Linked DNA regions of Kluyveromyces lactis. The protein of the gene in region 2 interacts with the protein of the main gene of each other region in a pairwise test. Links are inferred from orthologs where the notes say so. Each region holds a gene or a part of one and is shown on either strand. Other genes may lie near its edges. The genes, in order: NSR1 and DBP2.

What was found.
Region 1: the proteins of DBP2 (region 2) and NSR1 interact in a protein complementation assay, tested with the Saccharomyces cerevisiae proteins (2 studies listed by BioGRID). The link is inferred for Kluyveromyces lactis from reciprocal best matches to the Saccharomyces cerevisiae genes DBP2 and NSR1.

The regions. Positions count from the first base shown.
Region 1 is NC_006039.1:990,021-993,319, forward strand, and holds NSR1 (Nsr1p), read right to left. Parts: upstream 2,150-3,299; coding exon 812-2,149; downstream 1-811. Other genes in the region: KLLA0_C11517g (gag-pol fusion protein), read right to left, coding at 3,054-3,299. UniProt on the Saccharomyces cerevisiae protein: Involved in pre-rRNA processing. Specifically binds nuclear localization sequences. Candidate for a receptor at the nucleus that may be involved in both RNA and protein transport. Binds telomeric sequences of the type (TG[1-3])n in vitro.
Region 2 is NC_006042.1:2,215,086-2,219,450, forward strand, and holds DBP2 (DEAD-box ATP-dependent RNA helicase DBP2), read right to left. Parts: upstream 3,045-4,365; coding exon 1,772-3,044; intron 761-1,771; coding exon 369-760; downstream 1-368. Other genes in the region: COPI-interacting protein CEX1, read left to right, coding at 1-217; DNA-directed RNA polymerase core subunit RPC19, read right to left, coding at 3,470-3,853. UniProt on the Saccharomyces cerevisiae protein: ATP-dependent RNA helicase involved nonsense-mediated mRNA decay and ribosome biogenesis through rRNA processing. Associates directly with chromatin, correlating with transcriptional activity.

The DNA.
Region 1 (3,299 bases), on a different chromosome or scaffold from region 2:
ATTGAGTTTTTCACTTGGATTTCGATTGTTATAACGCATTTTAAATGGAATGGAGAACTAAAAAAAAAAAGGAATGTTTATTCCGTCGAGTTTTTGCCTATAAAAGCCGTTTTGTCGTTAAGTTTGCTTCAGTTTGTAGTATAATTCACTAGATAATGACACCGATTTTATGTAACCTAGCAATCTCATTGAATTGCGGCATAAATATCGATTATTACATACCTTTGGATACACCTCCACAATATTCGTAGCTAAAATTCTTCTTTTCAGTTTGTGTGTGCGTGTATGTGTGGCTCTCAAATTGTCCATATCTTTTGAGGTGGGTTACGACTGTCATACGAGTGTATTAAGGGATTCTGTAATGCAGTCAATTGTCTTGAAACTTGTCTTCTCTTTTTTCTACACCTTTAAAACAAGATTCAAAGATGAAGCTTAATTTTACAAAATGCACAGATTCGAGACTCTTTTCCATAGACCTTCTTCGCAGACTTCTAGTTCAAAAAATATTAAAAGCTACTATACACACATATACAAATGATTTAAAGAAAATAAAATAAGAAAATAGAAGATGAATGCGATTCAGTGAAGTTTACAATGAATCAGTTGTTGATCTATAGATACAAATAAGATGACGAATGGTTATTCTTGTGATTTAATTTTTTTTTATTTTTATTTTTTGACACTCTATTGTTTCAATGGATGAGAAATGATCTTCTTTATTCCCAAGAGCATGTTAGGATGATAATGAAAAGTGTTTTCGACTTTGAGGAATGAACTTTGTTTAACTCTTGTGTATTAAGTATTCAAAAATTCAATCGAAGGTCTTTTTGGTACCTTGGAAGGAAGCAGTTTGTCTGGTAGCTCCTAGAGGAGAAGCGTTAGAACCGGAACTGAATTCTCTACCTCCTCTGTTACCACCGAAGCCACCTCTACCGCCTCTGCTGCCGCCTCTACCGCCTCTTCCACCTCTGTCAGAACCACCTCTGTTAAAACCACCACGTTGGTTGTTGCCGAAGTTTTGCTTTGGAATGGAGTAGTCTAATCTGACTGGTCTGTTATTAATGTATTCACCTTGTAGACCTTCAAAGGCTTTAGTGGCATCTTCAATACTACCGTATTGAACGTAACCGAAACCCTTTGGTTGTTCAGTTTCTGGGTGAGTTGGGATACGAACAGAAACAATTTCACCATATTTACCAAAGATCTCGTACAAGTTGTCTCTGTCAGCTTCGAAAGACAAATTACCCAAGAACAAAGTGTCAGATGGTTCAGATGGAACGTCGCCGAACTTCTTTGCTCTGTCGTCTCTTGGAGCACCAGCTGGCTTCGAGGTAGACATATCACAGTTGATTGGTCTTCCGTCAATTTCCTTACCGTGCATTTCCTTGATAGCTTTTTCAGCGTAGGATTTGTCTTCAAAATCGACATAACCATAACCACGGGATCTGTCAGTACCTCTTTCGTACATAACTCTGGCACTAATGACACCACCGATTGGTTCAAATTCGGTCTTTAACCATTCATCGTCAATGGACCATGATAGTCTACCAACGAAAATAGTAGCTGGTTCACCAGCCAATTCAGTCTTTGGCTTTTTGCTTTCAGATTTCTCTTCGTCATCATCAGCCTTACGCTTGTTAGAGCTTTTTTCCTCTTCTTCATCGTCATCAGATGAAGAGTCAGAATCAGATGAAGAATCAGAATCAGATGAAGAAGCGGAAGATTCTTCCTTCTTCTTTTCCTCCTTCTTTTCTTCTTCTTCGTCAGAATCAGAGTCGGAGTCTGAGGAGGAGTCGGAAGAAGAGTCAGAATCGGAGGATTCTTCTTTCTTAGCTTCTTCCTTTTCAGATTCGGAATCAGAATCAGAAGAGGATTCGGAATCAGAGGAAGATTCTTCCTTCTTAGTTTCCTTCTTTGGTTCTTCTTCTTCGTCAGAAGAGTCAGAAGAGTCAGAAGAGGAAGAAGAATCGGAATCAGAAGAGGAATCAGAGCTAGAATCAGAGCTAGAATCAGAGCTAGAATCAGAGCTGGAATCGGAGCTAGATTCTGGTTCAACAGCCTTCACCTTCTTTTCATCTTGCTTCTTTTTTAGCTTTAGGTCCTTCTTGGAAACCTTCTTGGAAACCTTCTTGTCAGTTGATTTACCCATTATGTGAATTGTATGTTTGAGCGATGATATTATTCTGTACTCTGTTAATAGATAATCAACAAGACTCGATGCTACAAGAATTGCGTTTCAAAATAGCGTTATATCAATAAATGTTAGTTAATGAAGAAGTGTTACTGAGCAGGTATAACTTATCTTCTCTTATAACAAACTTCTTTTTCCAATGCGATGAGCTGAAGAGTACAGAGACAATAATTTTTCACTTAAATCGTTTCTTTTCCGTTTTTGTTTGGGTTTTTTTCACTGAAAAAACTTTTCATCACATTTTTTATTGAAAAGAAATTACCATGAAAATTCGTGATAATTTGGTGCGAGGTATGGGTTCTTTTAATTTCTGGCGCGCGACTGCGTTCTCTCCAAGGTTGTATTCCTCTGATCCGATGGCAGTTGATGAAATGTCAACTGTGAATAATCAGTGATGAATAGATGAAGAAAACCTACAAAGCAGATATTCATGACATATAGTTATTAAATTATAGTGAAAATGGTTTTAAATTACGAGAGAGTATTGATGTTAGTTTGTAATCTATTAAAAAGTACATAAAGGTATACGTCACAAAATACACTTTATAATTGTCCTCAATAATTTCTTAGTTCATTGCCCAATATACTTATAGAAAAAAACCGAGAGACTTTTATAATCGATAGTGCACCCACCTTGTGTTGAAAGAACATGGGAAAAAATATTTAGGGTCAAAGGATTTGCTTCCTTTAAGTAAAACAGGAGAAATAGAGATGCAGATATATCAGTGTTTAAATTAATGTTTGTGTCAAAATTGAAGGTAAGAATGAACTTGAAATGGTTAGTGTTGGGTTAGAGCTTTAAATACGATGAGATTGATGCCCGATAATAATTTCTCAATTGTATTTATTCTTCGCAATAAACTCAGAGTAGAGAGATTAATCCCAGAAATACTCCAAATATTGTTGAAGATCTTGCGTTTATGGAAGAAGCAACACCTTGAAATATTGAAATCGAAGAAACTGCTCCAAAGCTTACCGTAGAAGAACTTTGTTCTGTGTCTGTTTTTGGTGCTTGAGAGGTAAAAGATTCCAATGAAGGTTCCATAGGTTCCGTAGTTTCATTTGGTGCTGATGATGGTGAAGAGTTTGATGGTGAAGTTGAAGTTGT
Region 2 (4,365 bases):
GTTGACATCTAGAAGGAAACCACTACCGCGCCAAAACAAGCCTTCAATCTTAGGAAAAGCAAGTGCAAAACCATCAATCCTAACCAGAAATAAATCATCATCTCCTATTGTAACTTCCAGCAAAAACATCAAAAGCGCAACCAATATTCCATCTAAAATGTCAAATCTTGTCCTCGATGATGACGATACAGAGGACGGTTGGGGTGATGATTGGTAGGCAGACTCTATTAATTCTTAAGTTTATCAATTAGACAATAGTAATGTACATAAATATATAGAATAATATTGTTATAATCAGCAACCAGCAACCAGCAGATAGCAAATATATAATGTTTTTTAAAGAACAAATCGCAAAGACGTTATACAAACTAACGTCTCCAGCCTTGGTCTCTGGATCTGTTTCCACCGAAGCCGCCACGGCCACCACCGTAACCACCACCACCGTAACCACCATCACCACGGCCACCAAAGCCACGGCCACCACGGCCACCACCAAAGCCACGACCACCACGGCCGCCACCATATCTTGGATGTTGGCCGTATTGACCCCTGTCGTATCTTCTTAGTTCTTCTGGAATATCTTGTTTAGCTTCTCTCATAATCTTGATCAAAGCAGCACCCAGAGATTTATTGCCTTCAGTGAAGAAGGAGATGGCAGTACCAGTAGAACCGGCTCTACCAGTTCTACCAATTCTATGCACATAATCTTCGATGTTGCCTGGCATATCGTAATTGATAACGTAATTAATACCCTTGACGTCTGTTGAATAAGAATGAAGTTAGTAAGTTCGTTCGTAAATCGTAATGGTAACTATATTGACAGCACAAGTTCGAAGCACTTCCAAATGAGAATATAAAATCCAGAGGGCGCAATCAACGATTTATTATAACATTAGCCCGCGCGGCTTATTCATGTCAGAATAGTCGGTGGAAGACAAAGATTTATGTAAGGCTTGCTTATGTCGCAAATATGTACTTTTCTTTCTAACTTCATAGAATACATGGAACAACTACTAAGAGGAATCGCAAAAATAAAACTGAATGCACACTTTGCATAACAGGGAAACCATCCTGTGACGCTATTTTATCAGTTTTTTAATTCTTTAACCTCTTTGTTAAAATGAATGAATCCTTATTTCATTAGGTTCATGTTCCAATCTACTACTAAGCACAATTAATGATACGCGAATCTGATCTAACTCAAACGATCATGTTAAAAATAAAGAACATCTTTCAGCAAAATTGCATCAAAGAGATGTCAAATTGATAACATGATTAGAAAAAGTATCGAATGTCCGGTAATTCATCACAGCCTTCAATGCAACGAGAAAACCACGTTGTGTAAAAGCTACTTCACCACACATTCGAACCCAACGGTCCAATCAAAACCTGATTGTCATGAATACTAGTAAGCTTGCCAATCTACTTTTAATTCTAGAGATCTGAATAAATCAAATCACATCGGACTGGTCAAGTCTCTAAATCTTTATCAATAATTGTGGAAGTCAAAATGAAAAGTATTTTCATATCCTTTTCTCTGTCCGCACCAAATCCAATAGGATTTCGTTGATAAATAATAAGACCAGCTCATTATTTTTTACCTTTGAATCGAAAACATCCGTGTCATTCGAATAAAAAGGCATATCGTGATCATTTCGAAAGAAATGACTTCGACAGTTGTCTAATATAGTTAGTAGAAAGGTTTGACGATAGTCTCAATGTAAACTAAAGTTCAAACCAATGCTGAAAAAATTAAATTTCAATAACATACCAATACCTCTAGCAGCAACATCAGTTGCTACCATGATAGGAGATCTACCGGACCTAAACTCAGCCAAAACCCAATCACGCTCGTTCTGAGCCTTGTCACCGTGAATGGCCAAAGCTGGCCAGCCTTCAGTTCTCAAATAAGAAGTGATCTCATCACAAGTTCTCTTAGTGGAAGCAAAAATGATGATCTTGGAGTCTTGATCTTGAGAAGCGGTTTCCAAATGCTTGGCCAATCTATCTCTCTTTTCGAAATCAGTAAGGACTTCGACGATCTGAGTGATTGTGTGGGATGCAGACAATTCCAAAGAACCAATTTGAACTTGAATTGGATCATGCAAATAGTCACTTGCCAATTGTTTAACTTCCTTTGGCCAAGTAGCGGACCACATCAAAGTTTGTCTATCAGGTCTAATTTGATCGACAATTTTTCTGATTTGAGGTTCGAAACCCATATCCAACATTCTATCAGCTTCATCCAAGACAAGGTAAGTGACTCTTTTCAAGTTTGTCTTACCAATTTCCAACATGTCAATCAATCTACCTGGAGTAGCAATCAGGATTTCTACACCTCTCTGTAAATCTCTGATTTGTTGAGACTTTGGAACACCACCATAGACACAAGTGTTTCTAATTCTAGAGGAAGCACCAAATTTGGAACATTCTTTTTGAATTTGAACAGCTAATTCTCTGGTTGGAGCCAATACCAAAACAATTGGACCATCACCTGGAGATAGCAAAGGTTGAGCATTAATATGAACGATACCTGGTAAACAGTATGATAAGGTCTTACCGGAACCGGTCGCAGCGACACCAATCATATCTCTACCAGACAAAGCCATAGGCCAACCTTGGCATTGAATACCAGTTGGTTTGGCGAAACCTTCTTGCTTAACTTCATCCAAGACATAAGATGGGAAACCAGCTTCATCAAAACTTCTGATAGGTTTTGGAACGTCATGACCAGAAATGGTCATTTCGTTTTCCTTTCTAAATTCGATAACTTCACTTTCACTCATTTGAGCAACATCTGGATGTTCTTGGTAAAAATTCTTTTCGAAAACTGGCAAATTTGGTAGTTCTTCGTCCCAGTTTGGAGCGACCAAATCAACTCTGGTATCACGAGATGGACCACGACCAAAGCTACGGCCACCGCGGAAGTCATTACCTCTGTTGTAGCTGTTTCTGTCAGAACCTCTGCTACCACGGAAGTCACCATGAGTGCTGCCCATGTTGTTTCTGTTAAATTGATGATCTCTTCCACCGCCGAAACTCATTGTTCTCTGTATAATGTGTGAAATAAGTTGCTTGATGTTGAGAACCAAACGATAAAAAAAAATGCACACTTGTAATACTGAATGAACGAGGATCAGAGACAGGTTTGAATAATGTTTGCAGCTTATATATTAGTTTCAAAGGGCGATGAGGGAACTTGCAAATTTTTCAAAAAGAAACAAAAAAGAGAGAAAAAGAAATTTGTACCAATGTACCAATTTACCAAAATGGTCACGTGATTACATTAGCCACTCCAGCTACTTTTGCCAATGGTATATCCAACGGTGCTTCCAATGTGCTAGATTACCAGTAGCTATAAACGTAGAATCAATAGATATTATAGTGTATTATACAAGGATGATGTAGTTGTGTATTTAATTCTATTCTCTTATATATAGTTAATGCGGGAGCTGGAGATAACCAATTTCTACATTTCCCTGATTCTTTGCGTGAATCTGTCCTCTACAGCATCACACATGTCCATTAGATCTCCAAGACCCTTGTGCAAAGCCTCTACAGCAGTAATTTTGCCGTATGTTTGAATTCTAATGTGCAAAAAGTTTTCTGAAGGATGAGGAATAGAGTAACCACAGAATTCTACCTCCGGGTTTTTCATGATCATATAACGAAGCGTGTTACCAAGGGTATGATCTTCATCTGTTATTCTGAAAGAAGCACTAGTACCATCTTCGGAAGTAGCTTCTGTGAGAAGTTTGATCTTTTCACTGTCCACTTCTTCCTCCACTTGATCAACTTGATCATTTTGTTCAGCTGCTAGCATATCAACATCTTGCTTTTCCACTTCAGCCATATTTCCGAGAGCGCTTATGAATGGTCACTTAGGTGGTTTGTGCGTACTTCTTTCAAACAGTCAATAAGACGAGATGACCTACTCTGTTAAGCTGAACAATTTGTCAATATTGATTATGGTTTTTTCGATAGAGAGAAGAGGGAAAACCAAATCATGCTAAAGGAAAAAACAAAAAGCTTACCCGGTCTTGACCGGGTAACTGAAAGAAGCAAGTTGATGCGAAATACCAGATCACGTGTCACACACTTCATCAGTTACCGCGCAATGCACAGGTGTTGCTCATAGCCACGCTCAGGGTACCACACCATAGTATATAAACAACGGATCCCGAACAAAAAGCAAAGTAAACTAAAAGAAATGAGAAAATGCGACCAAAGCGAGACATACCCAAAGTCCCTTGGCAAAAATCATCAGGGGAGGCCGTTACAGAATTAGCATAACAATCCGGGTCAAGTATCAAATATCATTCACAAATCATAAAACAAGGACAGTCCGTATACCTAACCAGTTAT